4 linked regions of the Caenorhabditis elegans genome follow. The protein of the gene in region 4 purifies or fractionates together with the protein of the main gene of each other region. This does not show direct contact. Each region holds a gene or a part of one and is shown on either strand. Other genes may lie near its edges.

What was found.
Region 1: the proteins of kin-18 (region 4) and F25D1.5 fractionate together in Caenorhabditis elegans (co-fractionation; one large-scale study listed by BioGRID). This does not show direct contact.
Region 2: the proteins of kin-18 (region 4) and nuc-1 fractionate together in Caenorhabditis elegans (co-fractionation; one large-scale study listed by BioGRID). This does not show direct contact.
Region 3: the proteins of kin-18 (region 4) and scl-2 fractionate together in Caenorhabditis elegans (co-fractionation; one large-scale study listed by BioGRID). This does not show direct contact.

What each region holds. Positions count from the first base shown.
Region 1 is NC_003283.11:10,544,327-10,550,533, forward strand, and holds F25D1.5 (DeHydrogenases, Short chain), read right to left. Parts: upstream 2,458-6,207; 5' UTR 2,427-2,457; coding exon 2,157-2,426; intron 2,114-2,156; coding exon 1,925-2,113; intron 1,878-1,924; coding exon 1,503-1,877; 3' UTR 1,417-1,502; downstream 1-1,416. Other genes in the region: degt-1 (Acid-sensing ion channel 1), read left to right, coding at 1-102, 148-239, 287-721, 923-1,014, 1,161-1,252, 1,295-1,416; srd-34 (Serpentine receptor class delta-34), read right to left, coding at 3,272-3,474, 3,524-3,681, 3,728-3,927, 3,980-4,126, 4,173-4,269, 4,317-4,354, 4,702-4,755; F32G8.2 (uncharacterized protein), read left to right, coding at 5,709-5,871, 5,940-6,027.
Region 2 is NC_003284.9:9,536,319-9,543,919, reverse strand, and holds nuc-1 (Deoxyribonuclease-2), read right to left. Parts: upstream 4,016-7,601; 5' UTR 3,975-4,015; coding exon 3,871-3,974; intron 3,822-3,870; coding exon 3,680-3,821; intron 3,385-3,679; coding exon 3,307-3,384; intron 3,151-3,306; coding exon 2,679-3,150; intron 2,138-2,678; coding exon 2,010-2,137; intron 1,920-2,009; coding exon 1,815-1,919; intron 1,770-1,814; coding exon 1,671-1,769; 3' UTR 1,591-1,670; downstream 1-1,590. Other genes in the region: C07B5.8 (uncharacterized protein), read left to right, coding at 7,155-7,259; rtkn-1 (PH domain-containing protein), read right to left, coding at 7,479-7,553. UniProt on the Caenorhabditis elegans protein: Hydrolyzes DNA under acidic conditions with a preference for double-stranded DNA. Implicated in apoptosis.
Region 3 is NC_003282.8:13,054,417-13,061,110, reverse strand, and holds scl-2 (SCP domain-containing protein), read right to left. Parts: upstream 3,402-6,694; 5' UTR 3,390-3,401; coding exon 3,216-3,389; intron 3,165-3,215; coding exon 3,027-3,164; intron 2,857-3,026; coding exon 2,645-2,856; intron 2,213-2,644; coding exon 2,113-2,212; 3' UTR 2,049-2,112; downstream 1-2,048. Other genes in the region: scl-3 (SCP domain-containing protein), read right to left, coding at 509-608, 655-1,010, 1,253-1,389, 1,441-1,483; scl-1 (SCP domain-containing protein), read right to left, coding at 3,850-3,949, 4,005-4,222, 4,270-4,407, 4,553-4,720; F49E11.7 (Serine/threonine-protein phosphatase), read right to left, coding at 5,957-6,202, 6,255-6,338, 6,387-6,501.
Region 4 is NC_003281.10:6,115,556-6,126,251, reverse strand, and holds kin-18 (Serine/threonine-protein kinase SULU), read right to left. Parts: upstream 7,626-10,696; 5' UTR 7,358-7,625; coding exon 7,220-7,357; intron 6,792-7,219; coding exon 6,618-6,791; intron 6,537-6,617; coding exon 6,341-6,536; intron 6,290-6,340; coding exon 6,137-6,289; intron 6,088-6,136; coding exon 5,680-6,087; intron 5,549-5,679; coding exon 5,429-5,548; intron 5,302-5,428; coding exon 4,565-5,301; intron 4,390-4,564; coding exon 4,189-4,389; intron 3,720-4,188; coding exon 3,480-3,719; intron 3,426-3,479; coding exon 3,087-3,425; intron 2,969-3,086; coding exon 2,726-2,968; 3' UTR 2,187-2,725; downstream 1-2,186. Other genes in the region: mvk-1 (GHMP kinase C-terminal domain-containing protein), read left to right, coding at 606-759, 1,232-1,407; nmt-1 (Glycylpeptide N-tetradecanoyltransferase), read left to right, coding at 9,937-10,035, 10,078-10,216, 10,297-10,696. UniProt on the Caenorhabditis elegans protein: Acts as a negative regulator of cortical contractions during early embryonic cell division, possibly by regulating rho-1-dependent actomyosin contractility.

The sequences.
Region 1 (6,207 bases), on a different chromosome or scaffold from region 4:
TGTTACAACTCGGACAAATTGAAAATTCACTCGGAAAGGCAAACTTTAATTATGGATTGACAATGATGCATGAAAGCACTCGAAGAGTTGTGCTAGGATTGGGTAAGCATGCAAAAGCAAAGAGTTCTATTCCTCATATACTTTCAGCCCATCCACTGATTACTGAAGTAAGAGACTGTGTTACCAAAATGTATGAAAATCTGGAGAGAGTTGAAGAGATTGCAGAAGATTGCAGAATTGTATGTCAAACTAATGCATGGATTTGAAGAATAATAATTATTTTTAGATTTTCAAGAATCGCTACACTCCACTTATTGAAGCATCTAACGTCCATACAAAAACAAATCCAAATTCGGAATCATTTAAACTTTACACAGAAGCCATGAAGAAAGTGTTGGCTAAACTGCAAATATTAAAAACAAGAGTTCGAATGAGTGAATGGAAAGATTTTAAAATTGATTTAAAAGAATTTGAATCATCGTATCGAGAAATAGCAAAAGACCATGTGGAAATTGAAGAAATGCTAAAATTAAGAAAAACTATGGTTACGGATATTCCAGCATTGGCGAATGAATTATCAGAAACCTTTTTGGCAGCAACAGAAAGTAGAAGAAAGTTTGCAGTATTGACAGGAATTGCTGCAGATGAAAGTTTCAGTGATAAATTTTCAAATTTCTCGAAATGTTTGGATGAACTTCACGAAAAAGCGCCAAATTTAAAGGCAAGAATAATTACTGACTTTGAAATATTCAAAATACCTAAAAATTACATTTATTTGTTTGTTTGTTTATTCGAAATTTGATAAATAGTAACAAAATGTAATACATAGAAGATCAACGGGGAAAATCGAATAATACATAAAATAAGAAAATATTTCAAAGTTTAAAAATCAAGATCTGATTTTAATTTCTATATTTTAAAGAAAACTCGATTCATCCGTGGCGAATGGCTTTCAAGACTTCGAAACCAAGTTTTGATGGCCCAGTCATATTCTCCAACTCCTCAATATGATGTGTAAGTCTTTTAAGCGTAATCTGAGTTGTGAGTAGGGTGAGCTCAGTGATGGCAAACGACGCCGCCGTGACGTCTTGTTCTAATTGAGTGTATGCGTGCAAATAAACATTAAACTTGGTACTTTCAACGGAACAAACTTTTTTCAGAGTAAATCTTCTTCACATCAAGTTCTATTTTGCACACTTTAAACAAGAGACTATTCTTCAAGAAAGATCCTACAACTTATTTTTACTTCTTGGTGAGTTTTACTCGATGTGCTTGTAACTTTGAAAGTTTTCAGCCGAAATTGGAGGAACCATTGGATTATATGTTGGAGCAACACTTCTAACTGCAGCAGAAACTCTTGTTTTTCTTTGTGAACGAAAGAAAAGTAATATATTCCTAAAACCACAATTTATATAAAAGTATTCAATGTATTTTATTGTGTATTTTACGACTATTACATTAGATAACAATGGTTAACAAAATCTGAAAAAAAAAGTTATAGTTTACTGACTAAGAACGGACATAAGATCATGTGTTTGCATTCCCATAACAAGAGTTGATCCTCCATCAGCAACAATCGATTGTCCAATAATGTAAGATGAGAGGTTTCTATCAGCCAGGAATACAATGATATTGGCAATTTCTTCTGGCTTTCCACAATGCCCAACAGGAATGCATTCTTTCCGTGAGCCAATAAAACTGTAAAGCTTGTCAGATGCAGTTTCTGGTAAACCCATCGCTCCCATGAAACCAGTGGCAACTGCTCCAGGGCTGACAGAATTTACGCGGACACCATGTTGAATAAGATCGATTGCAGTGCATCTGGTGTATTGGTCAAGCGCAGCTTTTGCGCAAGCATAATATGGATATCCAGAGTGCTGAAAATTAAAACAAAAGTTCTGAAATCCTCTCTCCCGAAGCTTACTGCTTGTGGGCCAGCAACGATACTGGAAACATTTACAATCTCTCCTTTTGTCTTTATCAAATGTTCCTTTGTTTTCTGAGTCATTTCGATCACAGCTTGGAAGTTTAACTTGAATGTTTTCTGATACAACTCCACTGGTTGATCCGTATTAGCTGTTCCGTCAGCTAAATTGGCACCAGCATTATTAACCTAAAACAATTGAGTATATTTCATTTTCTATCTATGTACATACCAAGATATCAATTTTTCCGAATTTAGCAAGAGTCGTGTTGATGATATCATCTTGTCCTGATGCTTCGGTAACATCAGCAACCACGGCATTAATCTTCTCAGCTGGAACTCCTGCTTTCAATATTTGCTGTTTGGTTTCTTCTAGGCGATCTTCATTTCTTCCAGTAATTGTAACTTGAGCTCCTTCCTTTGCAAAAATCACAGCAGCCGATCTTCCGATTCCATTAGAAGAACCAGTTATAATGACAGACTTTCCAGAAAAGCGAGCCATTATTTTGAGATTACAAAAATAAAATGTCAATCAGATGAATGTGATGTTTAAATGCAGTTTAATGTTTTCTTTTTATACTCATTGCAGTTAAAATTATTTCATGGTTGAATGGAAGTTTGTAGTTTCCGTGACTAAAATATGAAATATCTGTTTACGTAGAGAGTATTTTCAAAGTTACTTCCCGAAGAGACCATAGACAGTGTAACAATTTTTGTGACTGTTAATTCCTCTGCGTCTCTTTGAATTGTGTCTATTTTTGTGCAAGCACAGTTGAGGGAAGATCAATTGATCAAGTTTTCAATATGAAAACACAACTATGATTTCAGGAATTTTAAAATTTTATTTGCTTAAAAAAAAAATAATTTCCGTGTCCAATAGTCTTGCACCCATCTCTCCATCTTTAGCTGCTTATTTTTCGGTTGTTTTTTTAATTTTGTCAGACATTCGCCAACTAGCAAAATATAAACAATAAGCTTTTTCTTAGGGCTTTAATAACACATTTCTAGTATCGTTAAAACGTAGTGCGACACTAGACGTCAAAATGAATTAATTTGGTGAGGAAATACGGTGAATAGTCTCTCTAGATCCAAAAACTTGTTTAACAATAATTGTTTGAGAGCTTTGGCACTTTATTTTAAAGTGTAATGTTGAACTGTAAATATTTTTTCATCGTTATTTTTATTTGCAGATCTTCGAACAATGTTTTTCATTTGTCGGTATTTTTTATTACTGTTATAAAAGTGCTTGTGTAATATCTTTGAACAATGTTATTTTATTCAATTGAGCAAAGTTCCGATTACTACTCCGATTAGTCCACCACTATCATTACCAATTATTCAAAATGCTCAAAAAATGGAAACAGCCGAAATATTGTTACGTCTAACAATTGCAGGTGAAACTTTTTTGCCACAAAACGTATCCTTGAAAAACGCAATAAAGGCTTTTTGGTACGGTGTGATGGTGACAATAACAATGAACGCATCAATAGCTGTTGGAAGAGAAAGCATCATATATAGAACTTTTTCAAAATTTGAGAGAAACGGCAAGTCTGAAAATTGTCACATATTATTTTACTGTAAAAACGGACAGGAGCCTACCATAATTCTCAAGTATTAAGTGAGCTATGTATATAGGAATCACACAAACTGCAGGGACAAGTGTCTGAATCGTCAAAGCAAGATCAAACTTCTTGGCTTGAGCAGCAGTTTTATCAGTAAATAAATGTTTTAAACTGTTGAGTTTAATTTGTATTAGTCTGGAAACACATTGGTAAGTATTTCTTCGAAACTCAAATTTATTACCTAATAAACACAATACTCATGATTGGTGGGACGAAAATGCTTATCATATTCAAATTTGTTGCTAACCAGCTCCAAAAATGTTTTTGATATCCAGTGATATCCGCATAGTACCGGAAATCATATTGTGTTGAATGAAACTTCCTGGTCTCTGAAGCAACCTCAAGAGATTCGTCTGGTTCGTACGTTATCACATAGATCACCTAGAAACATTCATATTTCCATTCTAGATCAATCACGAAAAGCAAAACTCACCCCCACAATTAAAGATAGAAGGTAAGAGCTTAAAAGAATCATTCTGATTTGATTTTTAGTTATGTTTTTCATATTAATATTTGTTACTTTTGTATATTTGTAAAACAATGTAGCAGGAATTGCAAAGGACGAGGCATCAAAGACTAACTGAATTTTGAATATTTGTAAAAAATAACAATTACAGGACACTTACCTGGAAAAAATCAAAACTGAAAAAGCAAGCATTTTTATGAGTGTGTCTACAAAACCCGCTAAAAAGATATGCTGACGATTCTGGATTGTTCACAGGTCTGAAGGAACAGTGTTAGCTAAAAATTAATATTATCGTACAACTAACCTGACTTGTGTGAAGACAACTATTATGCACATGAAAAACTGTAAAGTTGAAGAATTGACAAGAAAGACACGAAAATCTTTGAATACTACGGGCGTTTTAAAAACAACTAAAAGCACGACGGAAGTTTGACTGAACATGGTAAAACCAAAATAAACCCAAAAATAAATTGGAAATATGACAGTGTCGTAAAAGGTCTGAAATTAAAGTAACTGGCAATTACTTAAATGATAATCACAGATATTTTTCATATATGACAGGCAATGAAAGATTGGCATTTTAGTATATTTTTAAAAGTTTATTTTAAAAAGCAATCTTCCAATTGATTTTTCCTCATAAATACCTAACTAGGAGACTCACCATTGGTGGAAAAAGAAAAATTACTCACATTTGCTTCCATTGTCATAATACTAGAGTTGGCATTCTCATTGGATACATCCATGTGGTAGAAATTCTGAAATTCGTAATAAGAATATTTTTGTGAAAAATATCCAAGAAGTAACGAGGATGTTTACAATCTGGTAGATTTTTCTCGATTCGGGGAAATATATACTCCCTGTGGTAATATATTACCTAATTGTTATTCCTGTATGATGGTTTAAATCAGAACTACGTTCGGTTAAAACTAATTTGAATTCAAATCAAGATCTTTTTGTTTGTTGAAAAGTAGAGTAAAGTTTGAGTAATTTCACACAAAACGAAACATCTAATTATTCGATGATTGCACGCAGGAGCTTGTAAAGTTCTGTTGCTATGACAGAAAAATTTTGTCGGTATCAAAAAATGATTTCTTTTTTTTCGAGTTCTAGATAATGCATCACTTGCGTATGGAAAATATGAGACTGCCAATAAAAGTCTAACGACGAATCAATAAGCGAAAATATGTATTAAATGTCAGAATTGGGTTTTTCTTTTGTGATATCTCGGCATTTAGGCACATTTTGCGTATTTCAAAGCAAAATTAAAATGATAAGCATCAAAATAAATAAATCACTTTCAGCTGTTTGGCCAACTGTAATTCATTTCCTAGATTTTATCACCGAGTATTTCAAAAACTTCCCGGTTATTGCTCCACTTTTAAATGTAGTTTTTGATGAAAATTTTGTCGTTATGGAACTTGTGTAATGTTATTGCTGTAAGAACATGCAATGGTACTTTCAATACGTATGACTTATATCATAATTCAAAATTGGAAGTAAATTTTGTTTGTAATTTTTGTAATAGTTTCTACTTTACAGTTATAAGTTAATTAGCTTCATACTACATCTAAGTTTCCATCAAATCCCTAGAAGTTACTTAGCCAAATACATAAACTGGTTTAGGCATTGAGATTGTAAATGACAAGTTCTTCTTCTTATTCGATCGAAAACACTAACCATTACCAAGTCCATCAAGATGTTATGCAGTTTGAAAAATCAAGTTAAAATATTTCCTTCTTTAATTTTTGCGATTTTATCATGTTTACTGATAATATTTATTGTTGGTATCACTCATAAAGCCAATTATAACACAAATGTTGGATTCGAGAAAAAATATGAATACGCATACACAATGCAAGGTGAGGTTTTTAAATAGTTTTTTTTTCTTTCGTACATTTTATCTTACTTCAAAAAATATTTTTTTTAGATACTCGTGAACAGTTGGGAAATTTTTGTAAATTTCCATTTTTATTCTTTGCAAACTATGACGTCGAAGATGGGATTTACAATGTTGAGTACGTTTAGTTATACAAAATTTTAGTTTTGACACTCAATAATTTTTTTTGAGGTACAACTCTGTATAAAATTTTTAAAGTACCAATGAGAATAATAAACCTTAAAGAACAGGGTAACTTTATTTAAGTCAAGCTGATGGAGACATTTATGATCAATGACAAAACTATATGAAACATAGA
Region 2 (7,601 bases), on a different chromosome or scaffold from region 4:
AAAACTTTAACAGTTTCAAACACTGAGGAAAATAGTTTGGATAATAAAACAAAATATTTTCTCTATTGAACTTGAGAAAGTAATTTTAAAATCACAAAAAAAACTTACCAATCTGATATGTCGTCGAACAAAGTCGGGGTTTTCTGTTTTGGTAGATATGTGGGAGTTCGTTTCACAAAGTTTCGATTGGGAATAACGGATGAGTGTATGTCGAATCTGGTGGGACGTTGATGGTAGTGGCCTTTCCTCTCTAAAATAATAAAAGTGAAATGTATATCAATAGAAAGTGATAAGGCTTTGGAAACAGATATTGAGAGGTGGAGGAGGCCGAGAGTAGGGCGGCATCACCCTGGCCCCTTGGCTTGGCCCCGCGGAAATTGTAAAACATGAAGAAGGCAAGCGAATGAGTCGGTTAGCATTGGTGGGAGGATAGGAGGGGGAGCCGTGGGTCTACAGAGACAAAAAAAAGTAACCAAATGGGTAGTAGAGAAAAAAATGAGGAAAGGCTTGAGAGAAGAAAGTAGAAAAAAGCAAAGAAGAGTAAAAGGGGTAGCCGTGTTGATTGGTTTTGTTTGCCTTGGGATTACATAAGTGTCTTTTACTTCGATTAACCTTTGAGTCAGGTTAATCAGAACGTGCTCAAACACTCATCATGGCACCGACACATCGGCGCTCTCTTTCTACATATTTAACTTTTAGCTGCGAGAAACAACACTGACACGAATATCTGAAGAGAAAATGAAAAAGAGAGGGTGGAGCGGTGTGGGGGACAAGAAAAAAATGAAGAGACGTGATTGAAAACTGTGAAAATAGTGTGACAGAGGGCAGGAAAGTTATTAGCATTCGAAAAGGTTCTTTTGGCATGGTACGGTGGCAGCTAACAAAAAGCGCGAAGTTTGCAAAACATCGGGCGGCATTTTTTAATTCGATTATACAATTTATAAACTGACCGATATACGTTTCGTGTTATTCGCTTTTGTAAATTTTAGATATTTTAATCTCAATTCAGTTTTGCAAAATTTACTTGCAAAATGTAGAACATTAATTTTCCATTAGGGAATGTTCGACGTTTCTATATGAAAAGAATAATACGTGTTTGTAAGAAATTGCATAGGTTCAATGAACAGAGTGACCGTCTAATAAACAATCAATAATTTTTTGCACCTTTGGGGGTTTTTTTTTCACCCAACTACCAAATGCTGAATTGGAGTTTGATAAAGTATATATCTCCAAAACGTGTGGTTTTTTTTTGGCCCTTTTCACCTCGTCTTACACATTTTTTACCTACAGAAAAGTGAAATATTCACCAACGCTAAATCAATATCTTGCAGAGCAGTGCACATGCAATAACTGTTCACCAACTTGAAAACCTCAAAATAAATTCAAGTAATAATTACATGAAACTTGATGAAACACTTAATTCGATTTTGTTTTCAGTAATACTGTTTTTTTTTAAATGTGGTTATTAAAAGATAGTTATAATTTTCAGAAATTTCGTTTTCCAGACACACAAAAAAATGAGAGAAAAGTTTCCGTTACAATATAAGAGGTTCTGGCAATATTTGAGATTTATGACTTCTTTTTTTTTTTGGAATTCTGTCACACTAATTTTTTAAGAAGTACATCAATCATATTTATTTGTAGATAATCAAAAGTACATAGATGTAATTTTATGCACAATTATTTTGGGTTGCAATTACACTGTAGGCTTTCCAAAGGAACGAGCTGCTGATACAAGTAGTACCTCCTCCGCGTACATATTGAGATGTCTGTAAAATTTCACTTCGAGTTTTTTAACCATTTGTTTTACTCACCATTCGGTTGATATCTCCGATGCACACCCACGGCTTTGTCATATCAGCTGAGTGAGCCATTTTCGAGTGGTCTTTGGTGTATGAGAACGCGGTTGTACTACCAACCTACAAATCTTCTGTTGACAAACTGATTTCATCGAGTGACACAATTGCCACAAGACGGAAGGTTTCAAAAGGGAAAGTGTTGAAACTCACGTGAATTGACAGAGCATCATTGGCGTGGTAGGTTAGTTTGCAGTCAAGTGGGATCTCACTTCCACGTCTCCATGTTTCAACGACCAAATCTGTTTTCAGTGTTGGAGCCACAAGAGTATCGTATAGATCTGTAAAATAAATTGTAAAAAACGAAAACCATTGATTAAAATGTGGAACTTGAACTTCCTAAACCCCATTGCGCAATAATTCTAACACAAATTTCATCTGTATTTGTGTAGGTTTGAAAATCTCACAATTATATTCATGTAAATATGATGCCGTATTTTTTGTATAGTATGGCTACATTCACACTATTATTTCAAAATTAGTAATGCTAAATGTATTGTTGATTGTAACAAAAACACGGTATTTTTAAAATGTTTGAGAGTTATGAGGTTATTCGAGTAGTGTCGGATATTCAAAAAGTATTTTCAAACACACTTTTTGTATTATTCAAGTCACCAAATCATGCATTTTAATACAATTGTAACGTCACAAAGTGTATTAAAATACATTTCGCTAAATTACTTGAATAACCCCATTAGCAAACAATTAATGCACAATGATCAAAAATAGCTAAAGCATTGAAATTATTTCGAGTTTGCAGAGTTTTGTAACAAAAAAAGTTATTAGAAAAACCTTGCAATACGATATAATTTTGCTACTCACCTGCATTGAATTCCTTCGACTTGGCAAAATTAGTAAACGAATATCCAGCCATAGTCTCCAACTCAATAACGCTTTGGAATGGCTGTCCTTTTTGGTATTGTCCAGCGATTGCTTTAGCCAAATCTGCATTGTCAGCAGCCATGTTCGTTGGAAGATTCGAAGAATATATATTTGGTCGATTGAAGAAAAGTTGAGTTCCAATAGACTTCAATTGAGCGTACTTAAATGTCATGCAAAGCATTGTCTGTCCATAGTCGTGTCCACTGACTGGATACTCGTATTTCGTGGGATTTGGGAACAATGGCACACTGTGCACCAACCAGACTCCAGAAGTTCCATCAAAGAAAATGGTTCCCTTAGTATGTCCGAATGCGGTTGAAGTACTGTCATCTTCATGAGTATAGTTGCTATAAACTCTGTTGCTCAGAATCTCTTCCAATTTAATTCCACTTGTCGACTTTGATCCCCATGGCTGAAAGAAGAAACACTTGCAAATGTCTAATGGTTTCCATCTCTGCTCTCTGTTATCAGTTGTTCGCTCCAGGTCATGGTCAAGTGAGCATTTATCAATGCCAAATCAAACGATTCTGATGTTTCTGCAGCTGTCTGAGTCTCTATTTTCGCTTACCTCATCATTGTACATCACGTGGAAGATGGTCTTGTCATTCTGCTTGTCATAGTATTGTTGGAGTGTGTATGCAATTGCCTGGAAAAATTTCATATATACTCGACCTTGTATGTGTGAAAAAACTGTTAAACAGTTCTATTACAAACATTGCAAATATTAATCGAAATCATAAGGTCTAGATACAGTACTTTGCATGTAAAAAGATATTGAAATGCAATTTGAAAGAAAAAGTTTGGAGACAAAATAACTTCAGCGAAAAGGTTGTAACACTCTACTGCAACACTTCCGCAGCTGTACAAAAATATACTATTCAGTATTTTCTAAAATTTATGAAATTCTACTTCCTGAATTTTGTAATGAAAATTTTTCTTACTTGGTCGTTGTCGTCGAGAGTTTTAGCAGAAGGAGTCAAAGTTCCCTTTTTATTCACATCCACGTAGTACCATGCAACTCCACCTGCCAATCCTGTCACTGATCCATCATCTTTTTCGATTGGCATTTTGTACACTGCGAACCTAAATATCTACTTATTAGTAAATTATTTTTGTTTTGAAAATATATTACCAGTCAACATCGTTTCCCGACTGATCCTTGCAGGAGAATGCTGCATATGTTTGGGAAACTCCTAATAAGAGAAAAATCAGCACAGCGGCAGGAGACAAGCCCATTTTTCCGCTGAAATTTTGAAAGTTTCAGAAGGGAAGTGAGTGAGAAAACTGAAAACGTGCTCTTTTTATCAAGTGCTTTATCATCTCATTTTATCAGTTACTGCAAAATCTTAAATTGACAGTCAACATCAAACATTATCGGAATAACTTTCATTCATAAAAGATGAACAAAAAGTTGCATGACTGTTAAAGAGAATAATATGAAAATTTAGGAAAAGAGACCATCCAATATCAAATAGATTGTATATAATGGTACATATTGTCTCTTACCCTCCCTCACCTGGCAAAACGTCACAGGAACAGATGCTGCCTAATTCTTCTTGTCTCTCTCTCTCTCCAATGATTCCTCATTTTCCAATTTCCCAATTCACACTCCGATTCCTAACCTTTTAGCACCTTTCTAACCAATTTTTTTGCTATGTTTACTAAAATGGCGAACAGATGTTTTCACAGAATGACACGTAGGCATGTGTACTTTTCCTTGACGGAAATTGTGGTCGAGAAGAAAAAAGTGGGCAAACATTCAAGAGAACGAGGGCTGGTTGAGCCATTTGAAACTTGGAATCGTAGCGGTGTTCATATATTTTATCACGTTTCTGTTTGTTTTTTTAAACGAGTATTTATGAATTGAACATTAAGTAACGAACTAACGTATTTTCCAACGTAAAAACTATAAATGCAAGATAACCTTTTTGTTACAGACATAACTATCTCTTAAAATACAATTTTTTCTACATAGAAATTTTTATTAATAGACAAAAGTAAATGTGCTTTTCCGGATTTAAATTCTGCAAGAATCTAAAACAAATTTCATTTTGCTCCGCGAGGATGTGAAAACCATTGTCATTTTTTTTAATAACACAATACAATAGATTAATTGTTACAAAACTTCAAATTTCAAATCACGTTCATCATTTGCCTGGTGGTGATCCCACTGGGCTATATTTGTGGTTTAGCCGGGGACTGTGGCCGATAATCCAGTCGTGGATTGCTTTACTTCCCAATAGAGGCTCAGTGAACCTATTTAAGGTAATACGGTTACAAAACTTAACATTTTATCCAGTTTTTCTTCTTAATAAATATAAAAGATGTTGTAATGTGTATCCTGATTCCAAAAATAAGGTTTTACTATTATTCTTAATTTTTTTAAAATTAAGCGCCTTCACCGTAGAAGTGTAATATTTCCACTCACAAATAATCTGGTCGATTTTCTGAACATGAACAACGTTAAAAAAAATCATTGAATGCGGTTTCCTGAAATGGTTAACAATATGTACATATTTGGCGCTTACCTTTGAGAAATACTTTGGCTTTCCGGCAACATCGTCGTAGTTGCCAGGAAGTGTTTATGTCAGCTTTTCAACCGCAAAATATTGCCAGAAAGTTGTAAGCAAACAAAATTTGACTGAAAGTTGCCTCCAAATTTGGATTTTTAATAGTAAATTCAGTAGTAAATATTTTTTATGAGCTTAAAAGTACAAAAATGTTTCTCACGTCAAAATTTGTACCAGTAAAAACCATGTTGAAAGATTACAAACAAGTTCCCATCAAGTCAAAAATATTTTAACATTTTTTAGCGATTCATAATAATTTTAGAATTCCATTTTATGTCGGAAGCTGTGTAAATCAGCAAAAAAGTACAGCTTGCTTTTTTTAATTTTCAATTTACAATTAAACTCGAGCCTTATTTGAGCCGTCATCTGTTCCTTGTTTTATGCATGAAGAAAACATAATTTTTCATTATTTTTTTCTTCCATCAAAAAAATCAAGCAGTGTATTTTATTAGCTATACTAAAACAAATCTTATTAGTCTCTCAGAACATTCAATGAATTGTGAACCACTTCTTAGAATATAATAAAACAAGAATTAAACCATTCACCTTGAGACTGCCTGCTTTGAGGCTATCCTATTTCCACGAAATTTCCAATAAAACTAGTTTCCTCTCACTGGTCAAAACTCTACGTCAATAAAAGCTCCCTCGTGGGCTCCATCCGCTCTAATTTTCAATCGGATTTCTCGTCCACCTTGTCCAAAGTAATAACAGCTAAGCCATTGGCGGCATTTTCCCTTTTCTCCGGGAAGGGAGGAGAAATTTGTGGGTGAGCGAAGAATGACCAAAATCCAGTTTTGTCCGCTATCATTTCCTCTCTTCGTCTATTCGTCCTCACCCATATCGTTTTCGTTCGTTCTTCACGTGTTTTCCTTTGTACCGTTACTATTTGGTCTGCTGACGTGACTTCACAGTGCACTCAACTGCTTGTCTTCTTCCCATTCATAGTTTTCACAACCATTAATTTGCCCTTTCAGATTTGTTTATAAGGGCGAGGAAGAAAGAGATAATATTTGTATCATCTGAGGTATTTCGAATTTTTTGAGTTTGCGTTTTTTTTTGGTTTTTTGTTTTAAAATATTCAAACTATTCAAACACAAGTTAGATCTGAAAAATTCTCTGAATACATTCTTTACAAGGTTAAAAATTTTTAAATTTTTCATAGGTTGCTTTTTCTAGATACGAGTTTCGAATTATAATGTGAAAATGCTGTTGAACTTTTCTTTTTTTGATAAAAAAATAAACTAAACAATTAAGAAATGTTGGTAATTGTTTTTTATTTATTGCCAGCAATTACATATAGCTTAAATCACAACATTTTTTAATTTTTATAATTTTACGCAGTTAAATAAGCGCCCGAAAAGTTTTCTAAGATCACATTTACCACGAAGGGAAGCAGCAACTGAATATTAAAATTTTCTTAAACTACTTTTGATTTTTGTTGACTTTTGGTTTTGGCCGTTCATGAATTAATAAATTTGAGAATATTAAAGTTATATAGAAAGTATATAATTTGTTGCAACAGTTTTCTGCTTGTGAGAAAGTTAAATCAATTGCCCAATATATATATATATATAACTCATTTTTTCTCGAAATTATGCATTTAAGTACAATCATTGTCATTTTTTATTTTTCATGCATTTCATTATACCATTATATTACCAGTGTTCACAAGCACCTTCGTGATTTTTTCTTTATTTCAGTCACTGGCTTTTATTATTTTCTGTATTAGTTTTCTCATATGTTTTTTTGATCTATTATTCCTCTTTTTCTCAATTTTGGTTTAGTTGAACTTTCAATCTAAATTTTTCATTAATTTCAGACAAGTTTCTCTAAAAATCGTAAGAAAATGCGAGAATCCCAGTCATCCGTTGTTATCATTCGTCGATATGAGGCCAAAAAAGATTACGACGAAGAAGATGAGGAACTAGTTTACTGGTATTATGAAAACTGAACTCAACACCTTCAACTGCGATCTCAACTATCATATTCATAACTTCATTTCAATATTTCAATTTTGATCACACGCATCAATAAATCACTTTTCTTCATATTACATAAAAAATTTGAAACTTAGGAATATGTATGCCGAAATGGGAGTAAAGCATTCATGTAGTACATTATAGCCAATGATAAATGTAGAGGTGATTGTAGTCGTTATTTGAGGAGTATTTTAAAGTCGGGTGACATGCGATGCATTACGGTTGATCAGCGAACCGATGGATTTAGACCAACTCTTCTTCCCGTCCTGGAATTTTTTCTAATTGTATACATAATTTAATAGAAAATGAACATC
Region 3 (6,694 bases), on a different chromosome or scaffold from region 4:
GGTACAGATCGTTGATCATGCGGTAACGAGCAGGTGTACAAAACTTGTCTCGCCAATTTTTTGACACATTGTGTATTTAGTGAGCCCCGTTTGAGCAAGGTTAAACTTCAAATTAGGGATTTCATAGGAGGTAGGCAGGCGTCAGTGTCTTTTTCTCTGCCTGGTGCTGGGAACTCTGATGTTCAGAGTTTACACCATGTAGGCATAAGCCAGGCGTAGGTCGTCTTGAAGGCAGGTAGGCAAGGGATTTTAGTGCCTATATGAAAAGCTCGATCCAAATTAGGAACAAATAAGAAACTAATTAGGTAGTTTATGCATAATGTTTTGGTTTGGAAGATTTTTTAATGAATACAATAGATCTCTGACTCATGTACACATTAGGCCGCTTTTTTCTTATTATCCAGTCCATCAAAAAAATATAAGAAAATTTATTACACAATGGAAAGAATATTGGAATGCAATGGGCAGTGTTGAAATATTATCTACGTTTCAATCATTTTCCACAAGTTTATACACAAAGTCCAGTGGCAGCTTCACAAGTGGTTCCAGTTGGGCACGCTGAGCAAGTGGTTCCTGACTTGTAGATGTCTTGACCCAAATAGTTTCCTCTGAAAATTCATCGTTTTTATGTGCATGTTTGCTTCAAATGCTTACTGAGCCTTGTATTGGCAAACCACAACAGCTCTGTTATAGTTATTTAGTTCTGGATCAGGTCCGCAGTTCTTCACTCCACATCCAATCAGACCAGTATTAGCCCAAGCCATTTGGGTAGCATGTCCAATTCCAGTGTTAGCAAGGGCTTGAGTGAAAGTGTTGGTTGTCCATCCGTACTGCTGGAATTCTTGTTCCCAGGCAACAGATGCAGCTCCTCCATAGATATCCATTCCGGAGAATGGGAGGCTGGACCATCTCCAGTACAAGTTCTCTCCAACTCCAGCTGCATTGGAGTGACCTCTCGGGCAAGTGTTAGCAAAAGTTTGAGCAGCGGTGGCCAATGTGGTGTCCCACTTCTGAAATGGTATTGGAGGTATAAGGAGTGAGTAGTAGGCGATAGTAGGCGAGGTCTAAGAAGTCTACGCCAGCTCTACATCAGACCCTTTAATTAACTCCAGATCAAGTGCTCCCAGATCTGTAGAGAAGCCGACTGAAACTTTAGAAAATGCTCTGAAGAGCACTTGAACCTAGCAAAGACCTTCAACTGAAGGTTCCATTCATTGGAAAATCACAAAGTAACTAACTGCCGAAAACCTACCATTTTCAAAAGATTACTACCAGCTGCTTTTGTTGTCCCTTTAGCCACATATGTTCCCTTGGCAATTGAAGTACGAAGCTTATTATGAAGGTCCACAATGAATTGTTGAGTGCTTTCTCTGAATTGAGCATAAGCTCCTGAAAAATTGAAGAAAATTAGTTTCAAAAATTTCCAAAAAAAAAACTTACCAATCTGAAGGGTAACCAAAACGAGAAGAGTAAAGGTGTGCATGTTGTCTGTTGAAAATACAACTAGTAGGTTGGATATTTATAGGAGATTTTAGTTTGTATGAACAACTGGATGTCGTCGTCGCCGTGAGGGAAACTAAAAGTCATGGGAAGAGGGAAAAAACTAAAGAACGTGTGCTTTAATAGAAATAGACTAAATTGGTAAGAGTTTTATGTTGACATTGTTTGTTTTATATACAAAAGGGAGGCTGAAGTTGGATTTCATTTTTTGAAATTTCACACAGTAGATAGTAACAATACAGACATACGGTAATTTTTTGAAATTCATGGAAGTCAGAAACGGAAAAATAAAAACGTTTTCAAGCTGTTAACTTTCAACTAAATCACCAACATCTTTGAAAATACATACAAGATATCGTAGTCAAAAAACCTATAGCTTGAACTTTTTTCATAACTTAGATACATCTCTAGACACAAGTAGTCTTTGACCTCCCAATAAAGTTCTAACTGCTCATTATACTCCAAATCTGCCAATAGGATTTCGAACACGTAATCGTCGCATTTGTTACATAGGCATTTTGATCAAAGGTTGTTTGTGTTCTGGTTTTCAACTAGCACACAATTTTATTTATTATCTACAGAAAGTTTGAAAACACATTGCATTATTAAAGTTTAGACGCAGAGCCCTGTGGAAGTCTCACATGACGTTCCTGATGGACAGCCGGAACAGGTTGCTCCCGATACGTAGATGTATTGATTAATGAAGTTTCCTCTGAAAATTGATGTATTAGCAAACAGTAGCTTGTATTCAACAGGGCTCTCTCGCACATACACTTTTCAATTTTTTTTTATGTTAAAAATTTTGTCTCGGTTGAAATTAATTTTCCTAAAACTACTTTTTACTCTTCAGAAAAATCCTAACTCACAAAGTGTTCAAGACTACTTTACCAGTTGTCGAAGCACAGTTCACTTTTCGCCAACAACAATATTTTTCGTATTTTTGTATAATTTTTATTGGGTTTTTTGTTTTTAATGATCTCCTCAAAATGATCAAAATTTGTTGAAAATTGCCTAATTTTTTGGATTTTGTTTCAGGGAACGTGACCAAAAATTTATCTTTTTTGCAAACCTATCCTAGAGAACAACACAAAACACAACATTCGCAGACACAGTCAACATAGACTAGTCAACAAATCTCACTTACTGCGGCTTGTACTGGCACACGACGGTTACTTTGTTCAGGCCGTTTGAGTCTCTTCCACAATCCTTGACTCCACATCCGATCAGGTTGGATTTCGCCCACGCCATTTGAGTCGCGTGTCCGATTCCTGTGTTGAAGAGATCGATAGTCATAAGGTTAGACTTCCATCCGTAATCTTGGAATTCTTTTTCCCATGATGCCGACGCAGCAGATCCCTGAATGAAAAGATTGATTATAGAAATTTCAGAAACTTTTAAAATAAAGAAGGTATCAAGCGCCTGCCTCCTGCCTACTGCCAATATTCGCATGTTGTATTTAGGCAAAATTTGAACAAAATAGGCAGTAGGTCTAGGCAGGCAGGCACAAGGTAGACTAAATGACTGACATATTGATTGAGGTCTCCCAGAGATCCACTTGTCCAATACCAATACAAATTCTCCCCAAGGCCTGCATCTCCAGAGTGTCCCGTCGGACACCCGTTTGCGTAGTTTTGGGCGGATGCGGCGACTGCGGAATCCCATTTCTGAAAAGTTGAAATCAAAAATAAATCTGAGAACCTTAGTTATGTACATACCATTTTCAACAGATTTGTTCCCGGCGATTTCTGAGTTCCTTTTGCCACGTAGGTACCTTTTGCAATTTTAGACCGCAGAGTGTTATGTGCATTGATAATTCCGTTTTGTCCGGAAGAGCCGAAATCAGCGGAGCAGCCAACAGCAAGCGCCACAACCAGCAACAAGTAATTCATAATTGGAGAAAAAAGTGCAAGTCAACACGAATATGTTTATCACTGCGGTTCATTTTATAGGAGTCTTATCACGCGAAAACCTGTAAAATTGTATGATAATTGAGAAATCGTAAGCTACGTATGATCGGAAGTGGGCAGCACAAGACCAAAGAATTGACTTTTATCAGTAATTATGAACATTTGAGTCAAGTCAACAAGTATTCTGATTAGGAAGAAGTGAATTTTCTTCCTAATTTTGTTGTTGGCACATAGGCAAGTAGAATGTTTTACTTTTGCCTGCACTTGATGTTGTGTGCATTTTCGTAAATTTTAAAAAAGTTTGGTGTAATTTAAAGTTTTCGCTTTATTTTTTTTATATAATCACCAAGAAAAAACAAATGCTTCATTAGTAAATTAATTCCCAGATTAAAACAAAACAAATAAATTAAAAAATTACAGACACAAAAAGTGAAATCTCTCATTATCCGCAAAGCCCAGAAGCAGTGTCACATTTAGTAGATCCGGAACAGCTGGAACACGTAGTTCCTTCCTTATAAATCGGCCGTCCCATAGTGTTTCCTCTGAATATTTTTGAACAATTTTGAGTTAAAAAAAATCAAAAACTTCAGTGCTTACGGTGGACTATACTGGCAGACTACAGCTATTTTGTTCATATTTCTCATCGATGCGTCTCGTCCACAATTCTTGACTCCACACCCGATGGAGCTGGTGTTTGCCCAAGCCATTTGAGTAGCGTGTCCTATTCCACTGTTGAATAGGGTGGTATCCATTGCGTTAGACTTCCAGCCAAAGTCTTGGAATTCCTTTTCCCATGCGGCAGCGGCGATTTCTCCCTGGAAAGAATTATTGATTTCTGTCCCAGAAAAGTTATGCGACTCACATAGGAATCCAAGGATCCAACATCCGCAGAAGTCCAAGACCAATACAAATTTTCCCCATATCCAGTTCCCTTTGAGTGTCCAGTTGGGCACGTATTCGCATAATTCTGAGCCGACGCAGCTACGGTGGAATCCACGACCTGAAAAGTTTATTGAAGTATCATCATTGGGCTTTTTGTTCAAATATGATTGCCAAAAGTTACCCCAACTTGAATGACTTGAAACTCTTGAAAAAAGAAAACTTTAAGTTTTTTATTTGACATAATTGGGCAATTTAAAACCTACCATTTTCCTCATATCAGTTGCTGGTTCTTTTTTGGTTCCCTTCGCAACATAGGTACTCTTTGCAATAGCGGATCTCAATTTGTTATGAGCATCCACAATGCTTGATTGACCAGTTGAAGTGAATTGAGCATTGACACCAATTGCTAGGAGGCAGAGAATGAAGTACATGGCAAACAAAATTATGATTTAAAGTTGCAAACGTGCTGCTTTTTATGAGAGGAGTTTTTTAATCAAGTACGAGATTTTCAAATAACTTTTAATATTTGCAAAACGTAAACAACAACAATCTTTATTTTTGTCCATTGTAGAGAAAACTCATAAATGATCCAAACGATTTGGTCAATAACAACAACAAATTGAGCTTTTTACGGATATCAAAAAGATCAGCCGGACTGAAAATATTATGCTATCGGGCTTCAAACCCACACACTTTTCGACTCGGCAAATTTGGTAAATTTGCCGCCCACCCCTGGTTTGTACTCGAATAATTACTAGAGAATCAAGCAAAAAACTGGAACAAAACTTTATTAACAAAACTTTATACTTTGACAAAAAATATAGTAAGTACTGATTTCCTCATTAATATTAATAATTATAATAAACTAAATCGTAATTTATCTGTAATTTTAAATTTAACTTATTCAATATTCGCCGACTGGATTCTTACTTCAATCCAGGATTTACACTTGAGGACTTCAAATTGATGAAGTGTGAAGAACTGACAATATGGAACCATAGCTTTACTCCAGAATACTTGAATCATTTTATCCGTAATTGATTAAACGGAAACATGAAAGAATTGAGAAGATTCCACTTGGACCATGATTTCAAAATAAGAGATTGGGTAGTGGTGTTGAATGAAATAGTAGTTAGTCGATGGGACGAAGTACGCCGAGAAAAAGTATACAGGTATTAGTGGTAAAAAGGAAAAATGATTGTTCTTTGGCAAAAAAATTATTTATTTATTTATTTATTTCAAACAATGTGTAGGTCTGGCAACAAGTGAATAAATTTCTAATTTACTTAAAAATCTGTAGGGATGCTAAACTGACATAGGAAATACGGTATCAATTTCCAATTTCAGAATCGGTTTTCAAGAATTTGATTGTTCCGATGGTTGGGATATCGAAAGGGAAGATGGAACTATTGCTACTGTAGTTTTTGTGAAATCATCATTTGATTTTTTTGTTTGGTCTAAATGATTGGAGTCAGAAACAATTATACCGCACGTTTGAAAACGCTTGCATTGTTATTATCTTTCAAATAAAATATTTATTCATTTTAGTCATTCATTTTGTACTGAATTTTGTCAAAAAAAACCTGAAAATTCAAAAAATTCAAAATTTTTCTTACACTTTTCTTGCAAAAAATATTGGAAATTATACACAAACTATTAATTTCAGTCTAAATCTTTCCAAGAGAAAGCCCCTCTCCGCCCTTGCTTTTGCCGTTCGAGTGCGACGGCGACGACGACGACGATGTTTTCAAATGTTTGACTGGCATTGAACCCGACTTTTTTCTTTCCAAATTAGGAATATCATCTCCACGAGTGATTTCATCAGCTGAATTTGCATGAAGAAGTTTCTTATGACGAAAACGCCCAATATTCAGTTTTCCATCTGTCTCGACTCTCAATGTGGCGCCGTGATTCTGAAAATGCCATTTTACAGTTTCAGATGTGGTTTAACATCAGCAGACATACATCGGTTTCATTCATGTAACGCGGAGCCGAGAATATCGTGAGAAGTTTCTGATCAGCAAAGAACTTGAATCCTTCAGGAATCATCTAAAAATTGAATCGAGAGCAATTAATTATTTGTCTTTTGGAAAATACCTGATGAGCTCGAACGATCAGATTGATATTCAGACGTTTACAAGTATCACGAACGGCTGCCTCATTGAAAATAAATGAAAGTCCACGGACACCATTGGGAACGTACTCCGGAGTTCTGAAAAGTTGGATTTTTTTTCGTGGTTCCCTATTTATTTGATCAAGTTTTCAAAAAATTTTAGCACTATAGTTCGTGAAGTAAAAAATGAACCCATCAGGGTTGGAGACCAAAACGTTTTTTTCCAAAAACATTTTTGAAAAAAATCGGTTGATTTCGGCAAATTTTCAATTGTTTTGGCAAAATTTCAACC
Region 4 (10,696 bases):
TCACATGACAGTTTATATATTTTGATAATACGTCAATATTCTGACACTGCAAATTTTTATGCGAATTGAAAAATCTCAAGGTTTAATGTTGAGATTGATAAGATCTTCAAATTTTCTCTTAAAATTAATTTTTCCTAATTTTCATAATTCCTAATTTTCACAGAGCACGAAAGCGAATTTTGTGTAGACCATTTGTGTGTCAATGGATAATTTTGGATTTTTCGACTTTCCGGAAAATCAAAATATCGAAAAAAAATGTTTTGAAATTAATCAAAAATTTCAAAACTTTATGTTGTAACCTAATTTTCGAAATATAGGAAATTCGAAAAACTAATTTTTTTTATTATTATTTTGAAAGAGATTTTCCAAAAAATGAAAAAAGGAACATCATCGATAGGCACAATTACGGTAAAATTTTTTAATAAAAAATGAACAAATTAACCGTATTTTTAATTGACTTGAATGAATAAATAAATAAAAATTATTATTTCTCCTCACAATTCACTCATCCTTCCCTTCTTACTATCCATTCCCAATAGTTTCAACTTTCCACCAAACCTCTCTCAAAAATTTCAAATCTATTTCAATATTTTGTATTTTTCCAGGATCTATGTCGGATAAACAATCAATTGCTCATTGCATTGGGTGTTGGCCATCCAAAAGTTGATCTCATTTGTACGACATTGGCTAGATATGGAATACATCCAAAAATGACGGGTGCTGGTGGTGGTGGATCAGTTTTTGCGTTCTTGAAGCCAAGTGAGTATATTGACAAAGAAAACATCGAAAAAAAAAACAAAAATGTTTGAATTTTCAAAAATCAAAAAATTTTCGATTTTCCGGAAAATCGAAAAATGGAAAGATAAAGTTCAGAAAATCAATCATTTAATTAATGTGTTTACTAAATTTGGTTTATGTTGATTAAAAAACATTAAAAAACAAATAAATTTCATTACAAAAAAAAAATTACCAAAATTTTACATGATCACTCGAAATGCCGGAAAAAACAAAAAAAAATAGCGATTGCCGAATTATCGAAAAACTTTACATTTACCAGAATGAAAAATCAAAGTTTTTAGATTTTCATGAGTTGGGAGAGAAATAATTATATTTGTTCACCAAAACCATTTACTACAGTAGAAATTCGCCTTTTGCTTATTTTTTGAGTTTTTTCGAAGAAAAAAGTTTTGTTCAAAAAATCAAACCTAAAATTAAAAAAAATTATTTTTAGACACGCCACAAACTCTTCTCGACATGATTGACGGCGAGCTTCGCAGTCATGGATTTGAAGTTTGGCAGCCACCACTTGGCGGACCCGGAGTTGTTGAACATCAGACACGTCCTGAGCTCTTCCAGACGCCCGTTTCGTCAACACAGTGCTCAACGCCGGCTTCAAAACATAAATGATGACGTCATTATTTGTTAAATCTGCCCCCATCAGCTCCCCCCAGTGTGTGATATTTTCCGTTTTTGGAAGAAGAATAAGAAGTTTCAGTGTTTTGTTCTCTATTGGGTAGCCGAGATATGAACAAGTCGTCGTTTATAAAAGTCAACTCAGAATACAAGTTTTTTTGGATTTTTTTTGTTTTTTTTTAAATCTTTTAAATTTTGTTTTGTAGCCTATTCTCTCCGTCTCTACCATTACCTTTATTCTTCATACCTTGATTTGTGTGTTGTAGGAATTATTATATATTCTATTGGTTTATATTTTTCTAAATATTTTATGTTATTCCTCTCAAGTCAACAAAAAAAACAAAGATTACCCACCAATTGCGCCCATTCCCATCAAAAATTTCTACTTTTCTATTATTCAATACAATTTTTATATGAAATCCCTGAAACCCCCCGCTCATTTTTCATCTTGAAACCTTCCCGTTCGAAAGCTATAATTCAATTTTATTTAGTGTTAGAATATTTTTTATAAACTGATAAATTCTCATGTTTTTGTTAATGTCCCTTTCATAAATTCAGTGTGTTACGATTAGGGCCCCTCATAGATGTTTTTTCACCTTCCCTTCATTTTCAACAACTCTTTCATTTCCAATTTATGGAAACCGACCCAAAATTATTATTTTACATAAATCATCTGCAAAAAAACTTAAAATATAAAAATAAGAAATTACAACTTTTCTGCAGAAAAGTTGTAATTTTTTTTTTCTTGTTATTTAAAGTTAATGCATTTTCTAAATAATTAAAGTTTTATAATATATTTATAAGTAAATTAGAAGAGAAGGAGATATATTGGAATATATGATATGATGATGGGGTTCAGATATCAAATAGACTATAAATATTAGAGAAAATAGAGAAAACAACGTTGAGAGCACCGATTAAAGTTTCGTTTCTGAATGAAATTAGGAAGAGAAGGTGAGGAACGAAAAATTGGGTATAGTTGAGAAGTATTGCACGTATTTTCGGGGTTACTGTATCCCGGAGATCGGGATACCGTACCCCATTGGGTTTAGCCGTGGTTTTCATCTATCACAGAAGAATTGGATTTTGGGAGCTAAAAAAGAAGGGAGAAGACATGGAGAAAGTGAGAGAATGAGGGTGGTGCAGAAAAAACATAGAAAAAGACGAACTGGAACCGTAATTAGATGGAAGATATTTGGAAGATACTATCAATTAATTGTCCATACAAGCATACATTTTGTATAAAACGACAAAAAAAGAAAACAATTGGTAGACGACCCGAAGTGTAGTAGAATTAAGAGACAACATCATTCTACATAGCCATCTGAATACTGCTTGAATTCCCAACACCAGGAGCGATCCCACCAGAACTTCTGCTCGTCGAGCCCGTCCGTACGAAATGATTCTCGAGACGATGGCGTTCTTGACTGTGTCGATCACGGATTTGCTCCTTCTTTAGTCGACGCATTTCTCCCATTTGTTCGCGTTCTTCAATAATCTTCTGTTCAAGCATTGCACGTCGTGTGCCAATTCGTTCTTCGAGTGCCGTACGTTCCTGAAAATATAAATTTAGTTGAAGTAGTGGAGCTAGTTCAGTTTTCCAATTTTCTTCAAAACTCAAAAAAAAAAGTTTTCAGCACAAATGTTAGAATGTTGTATACATTTCCGCTCACCTTTTTAATCTGCTCTTCTAATGTGGCTCTCGTCTTCTTCTGATAAGCAATCAATTCTTCCAATTCTTTCTCCAACTTCTCACTAAGAACCCGTTGTTCATCTTCTTGCCACGACTCGAGCTTCACTGTCTTATCCTGAACCATTTTTTTGATTTGACTTTCGTATTGTGAAGCAAGAAGTGCGACTTTTTGCATTTGATCCTGTTTTAGTCGAGACGTGAGCTCTTTTTGTTCATCTTTTGGAACTACTTGCACCATTTGTGTAAGGTAGAGCTTAAATTGGCGAGTCTGAGTCTTCACAACTTGTCGGTATTGTTTTCGAATTTGTGCTTCTTGGATCTGAAAATATTCAGGAATAAACTAAATCAAATCTTCTCCACAATTCAAAAATACCTTTAAATCTCTTGGCTGTTGTCTTGACTGCATCGCATGCTTTTTTCTCAATTCATCCTGTTGCCTCTGTGTGTACTCATTTTGACTTGCCGATTCCGCCTCGTGTTGTGTCTCCAAATGTCGTTTTTTCATCGCGTGAAGCTCGTTGAGATGCTGTATTTCCAAATCGCGCGTCATTTCATGCTGCTTTGACAGTAATCCGTGACGCGTGTCCATTTGGCGTTCTTGCACGTTTACGTCCTGAATATATAAACTGAATAGTAACTGTTGACGATTTTTGGGAAGAAATTCATATTTATCTATATACTTGAAGAAAGGCTCAAGTTTTTTTTAAAGTTATATGAATTTCACAATTTGAAAAAACGATTTTCTGGTCAAGGAGTTAATCGAAAAAATTATAGATTTTTTTCAGGGGAAAATAAAAATGTTAGAATTTTAGATTTTTCCGAATTTTTTAAACATCCAATCGTGTTTATGTTGATAAAAAACTTAACAAAAAACAAAACAATATGTAAACTTCTTTCAAAAAAATATTAAAATGGTCAATTTTTTAAAGATACTTTATGAAAACTCGAAAACCGGGAATTGTTGATTTTCGATTAAAAAAAGGAAAATGTTTCGTTTTTCAATTTTCAAAAAATCGACTTTTCTTGTATTAGTGAAACTTTTAAATTTATTTTCTGGTTAAAATCAAATTCTCCAAACTAACTTCATCATCCAATTGTTCTTCCAATTGATGAAGATTACTGAGTTGTTGCCTGCGATACCTTACAATTTCATCTTCAAGTTCTGCACGAAGCTTCTCGTCAAAATCATTTTCCCGTGCATCTTTCACTCGATTCAGATCGGCTTTCACTTCTTTCATTGCGTTCTCATAAGTACTTCGAGGCATGTTCAGACTTCGTAATCGCTGAAAATTCTTGGTTTAGGACATTTTTTAAAAAATTATTCAAGACTAAATAATAAACTTTGAAAAAAGTGGAGAAGCAGCTGAAAAAGTGACCAGAACTTTCATATTTAAAAATTTATAAAGTCTAAATTTCGTATAATTTCTTTACAGAAATCAAATAAAAGTGAATTCTCACTGTTTTCTGTGCCTCCTTGTTATACTTGTATTCTTTCAATTGTTGCGCTGAATACAGTTTCATCTGCTGCTGATTTTGACTATTTTTCGTCTTTTTCATCTTTTTCTCCCCATCTTCGATATCTTTTTTCCGTTTGTCTAGTTCATTATTCTGTGAACACCTCACTCTCATCTTTTCTTTCGAGTATGTCGTTGTCAATTGTTCGAGTTCTCGATCCATTTTCACACGCAGTTGCTCTCTATCTAATGCACATCGTTCTTCAAATTGTTGGAGCTCTTTGTGATGTGCTTGTCGTAGATGCTTGTACTTGCTCATTTGCTCATACATATTGTTCTCTTTCGTATATTCTTCTTGTTCCTGATTGATTATTCTCTGGGAACGAAGCGTCGCGAATTTGTGATTTTGCAACGTGGCTATTCGTTCCTTGACTGCTCGATGCGGCATATGCAAGTCTTTCACTGGAGCACGTATCGACGTGTCCAAAGGATCATCGTGTGCAGTTTCGAGTATAGAAGATGATTCTGATTTCGATGTTGGTTGTGATGTTGGGATAGGTTCTGAAGGAGACGGTGTTGGATTGACTGCGATCGCCGTAATCGATGCTCCAACTGATCCATGACTCGGCATAGTTCCAACACCAGACGTTGATGTAGAAGAGAGCATTTGCGAAGGAATTGGAGGACGGCGGCGTGCGGAGCTCGTCGTCGAACTACTTCCATTACCGTATCCAGAGGATCCTGAAAATTTTGAAAGATTCTCAATGTTGCGCGATGAATTTCGAGAGAAAAACTAAAATAAATGGAATTTTTGAACTTTGCAGGAAATAATAAAGCCATTCCTAAAACAAAAAAAACAGTACAGTACCATGCACATTATCCATAGCACCCGTCGTATTGGTGGACACTAAAAGACCAGCTCCTCCACTACTCTGCATTGATCGGAAAGAAGTAAGAGAAGCACTTCGAGATGACGCAGAATCTCCTGCTGAAAACGAGAATAGATGGAAAACGAACAACTAAGGGATAGAGTCTGCAAAAAAAAGCTGAGGGTTTAAAGCAATATTATAAAAATTATTCCAAGATATTAATATTTTCACTTTGAATTTTAAAAACTACCTCTTCCAATTGAATTAGCTTCATTTCCATGAAAATCTAAATCATCAGATGCTCCATTTCCTTCACTTCCTTCTTTTCCTTCTGTTTCATCCAAATACATGAGTTTTCTCATCTTTTTGTATTGAAAATTATCCAACTCTAATACCATATTTTTCGTTCTCTGAATGAGTTCCTGAATTGTGTCTGATGGGCGAGACCGTTGAATGAATGGATGTCGAAAGCATTCTTCAGCTGACATTCGCTCTTCTGCTGGTTTTCGAAGACATTTGTCTATAAATTGAACGAATTCCAGCGACCATTCCGGTTGTTCGCTAGTGTCAATTGGAGAAAGAGTTGGAGGATCATTTTGAGCAATATGGTAGAGGGCAGACATTGCATTCATACTGAACAATGGTGGACGACGTTCGGCTATAAATAATAAAATTAATTATCAAGTATAATTTAAAATATTTCTCACCCAGCTCTATACACGTGATACCCAATGACCAAATATCTGCACGATCCGTGTAGTGACCCTCATCCATTGCCAGAATTACCTCTGGGGCCATGAAAAACGGCGTTCCGATGAAAGTTTGAGCCGGATCTACCAGGGATGCGGATCCGAAATCAGCTATAATTATTCAATGAAGTTTTGAAAAACCAAATAAATTAATATAATTACCTAGTTTAACAATAGCATGATCAGATAGCAGAATATTTCCAGCTTTAATATCTCGATGTATTCGCTTCAGAGAGTGAAGATATCGAAGAGCATCCAAAGTTTGAGAGCAAATCGCAGCGATTTCGACTTCTCGCATTCCTTTTCGCAAGACATCCACTATATCGGCTGCAGAGCCAATACAGTACTCCATCACAAGCTGAAATCGAGAATATTAGCTTAAACGTTTTGATATATTTAGCATTATAGAAAAACTATTTTTGTTTTTAAATAATCTCACCCAACATGTAGTGTCCTTAAGAAAACAAGCCTTGTAGTCGACAATATGTGGATGAACAACTGTATTCAGAAAAGACACTTCTTTAAGAATATCATTCCATTTTTCGACAGCCTGTTTTCCACTAAAATTCATCTTTTTAATCGCAACAGTCTGCTCATTTTTTTTGTCATATGCCTGAAAAAAAAAATTTTAATACAATATATTTTATTTCATTTAATGAAAGTTTGAAGCCGCCTGAACCAAAAAATGAGAAAATAATTTCAAATTTATTTTATTCAAAAATAAAGAAAAGAAATAAGTAATCGGAAAATTTTCGATATTCGGTAAAATACGGTACCCGGTCTGTACTGTAATTTCAAATGTTCGTTGCTGTAAAATCTCAATCGATTTTTACAGGGTTTCTAACAATTTAATTTTTAAATTTTTTTCGATTAATATACATTTTTCTATCGAAAATTATGAAGTGTCGATAAAAAATTCAAAACAACAGAATTTTGAAATTACAGAACTTTTTAAAGACGCACACTCAAAAATGGCAAAATTTCGCACCAGTAATTTTTTGAAAATTAACTGAATTTAATTTTTTTAAACAGAAAACTTACAAAATAGACAGCTCCAAAAGATCCATGTCCAATTTCTCTTAAATCTTGATATCTCTGCTCTGGATCCTTATTACTGAACAATGCAGCAATCGATGGATCCTTGATAACACCGGGTTTTTGTAAGACGGCAGGCGCCATCGTAACTCCACCACCTCCTCCGTTCTCCGTATATTCGAGAAGCGCGGCGCCAACGAAAATGAATTTTTGATTATTAATAAATGTGTATTGTTATTAATTTTTGAAATTTTCTGATGTTTTTCTTGTCTTGTTTGATTTTGTTGTTGATGGATGAGTAAAAATCGAGGATGGCGTCGCCGTCGTCGATCGGAGAGAGCACATTAGCCAGAGGATTCCTTGCAGATAATATCGAGAAAATTGTGGATGCAACTGGTTGATGTGAGAAACTCTGAAAATTATGATAATCATGAAAAGGAAGCGAAATGGGGAGTTTAGAATTAAAAAAAGTAAAATAGGAGTAAAATAGGATACAAGTGTTGCCGATTTGAAAAAATAGGAAAGTTAGAAGTAATTTTTTTATATTCATATACGCTGTTAGTAACCGATAAAAGTGTTGTAAATTTTTCGAATTTTTTTAAATTGAAGGCTCATGACTTACTTTTGACATAATCATATTTAAACATAAAATGTCTAACACTTTTACAAAACCAAAAACTCAAAAATCGCGTGACAAAACAGTCAACATTAAAATAGAAAAAATCGCAATATTTTCTGTTCCTGTCTGCATCAGAAAGTTGCCGCCTGTGGCGGAGAGAGGATTATCGGCAACACTTTTCTCCTCTCTTTCACTACTTTTTTTCTATTTATTCCATTATTTATTATGGGAGTAGAACTAGAGAATAAGTAATCTGAAAATTGCAAAAACAATAACACATCGTAGACTGAACTTTTTGTAGAATCATTTTGTAGAGTCCTTTTGCGGATTACTTTATTAGAACTGAAGTTCAGGACTACTACAGTCCGTTCAAGCTAAATATTGTATCAATTACCAATATTTGGATGATCTACTTGAATATTTATAGAATTCAATTGATCTCATGGAAAGTAGGGGAGAAAAGTGTCGTCAAAGAAGGGGAGGACGCGTCTTCAATGCAAACACGAGCAAAAGGGCGCCGAGCCAAGACATTGTGTAGAGAACTAGAGATACACAGAAATAGCAAAGAGACGCAGGCTACGGATGATAAAAAAACATAGTGCAATCCGCACAAAATACCGCCGGCTATCCGCCACTTTATTTGGCGCTTAATTCAAAGAGATTGGAGGATTTTGGGAAAAGAGAATGAAATTGGAAAAGAGCTTATTTTGGATGGATCTCTCAAGCTGATCGGTGAAGTTTTAAACTTATAGTATCTAGTCAATTCATGAGCATGGAATTAAAGTGTTGCTACTAGTTGAATAGTTATGAAGGTATAAACACAAAAGAAACTAAAAACATTTTTTGTGGTATATTTCGCAAAATAGTTTAAAATTAAAAAGAAAGAGAAAATGATTCACAAATATTAGCCCTGTCTTCATTTAGCAATATTGCTAGCAATCCTTCTGAAGTGTTTAATGAATTTTCAAAAAAATCATAACAAGTTTTCCCTAAAAGAGAAAAGGTGACGCAGGGTGAATGATATCAGCACGGAAATATTTATTTGTTGACTTCTAAAACCTTCCAAAACGAGAACTTTATCACCATCTATGATTCATTTGTTTGCACTAAAAACCTGGTCCAAGTATTTTTTGATAGGAATTTAAGCGCTATGAAATTTGATAAAACTTGGAAAAAATTCCAGCGTTGTTGAATTTGATTATCAATTTAAGATGGCATTGTTCTCCAACTTCCATTCAACTTATTGCCTCAATAAAACAATAAAATGAAGAATTTGTTGAGATGATAAGAAACTTAAAGTTTCAGACGAAGAAAGACCAGAAAAGTTATCGATTTACGGTTGATTTTTTCTTTATATTTTTAATTTCAACTGATTGCACCGTCATGGCCAGAAACTCCTCTCTTATCAGACCGCCCGGGGCATCTAGCTGCCATTTTGAAACAAACTCTTTTAAGATGGAAGGGACAAAGGAAAAAGGAACAGTTAAACTAAAAAACACCTGTTTTGGTGGAATAAAGTTAGAAAAATGTTGCGCAGAGAACTGAAAACGCCAGTTGACATAAATGGTAGCTAATGTTTAGCTAGTTTTGTTTAAATAACTCAAGAAATGCAGAAGTAAAGGAAAAATAAGGAAAATAATTGTATTGAAATGATAGTGTTGGAGGGATCGAACGGAAAAAGCCGTAGAAACGGCGAGACATTATGCCGAAACAAGAGAAGCCAGAGAAGTGCCGTCAAATTAGGTGTCTTGTGTGCAAACACTAACACGGCAAATTGCAGAATTTTCGTGATTAGGAAAAATTCCTCAAAATTTGCTGAAACTAGTGATATTTCCTTTATTTCTGAGTTTTTATTTGATTTCGAGGCTAAAACAATTTTATTATGTTTATTAGCCAACTCATATTGCAAAAAATGTCAATTGAGATTGCTATAATTCTGTTGGAAAATCAATTTTTATTGTTAAAATTCTAGAATCAATATTTCAATTCCTCACTCTAATTCTGATATCAAAATTTTCGCATTTGATTCTTCTACACGTTTCTCTAATTTATTTTCATTACTCTCTTCAAATCCTTTTCATATTTCAGAACTTGAAACCTAGTTATGTCCCACGGACACAGTCACGACGGAGCTCCGTGTGGAGGACATCACGGTGATGATGGTGCCGGTGGCTCTCGACCATCTGTCAACGATGTGCAAGCGGTGAGTTTGAATTTTTGTGAAATTATTGCAAAGTATAAGTAGTTTAAGCTTGTCGATCAACTTCGTCTTGCTGGTGTCGATGTATCCAACATGCCCAACATTCCAACTGCTCCACGTGACATGGATGAGGCGCGATCGAAGAGCTTCCAGTTCTGGAGCACTCAACCAGTTCCACAAATGGGTACGTTTAAAAAGTCATTTTTAAAGTTTAATCAGAAGTATTTCTTATTGAATAACAGAAGATAACGTAGAAATTTTCAGACGAAACCGTACCAGCCGATGTGAACTGTGCTATTGAAGAGAACATCGCTCTTGACAAAGTCCGTGCGGAGCCATTCTCCCTTCCAGCCGGATTCCGCTGGTCCAACGTTGACTTAAGTGACGAGGAGCAGCTCAACGAGCTCTACAATCTTCTTACCCGCAACTACGTTGAAGATGATGATTCCATGTTCCGCTTCGACTACTCCGCTGATTTCCTGAAGTGGGCTCTCCAGGTGCCAGGATTCCGTCCTGAATGGCATTGTGGAGTTCGTGCTGACAGCAACAACCGTTTATTGGCCTTCATCGGAGCTGTCCCACAAACCGTCCGCGTGTACGACAAGACTGTGAACATGGTGGAGATCAACTTCCTGTGCGTTCACAAGAATCTCCGTTCTCGACG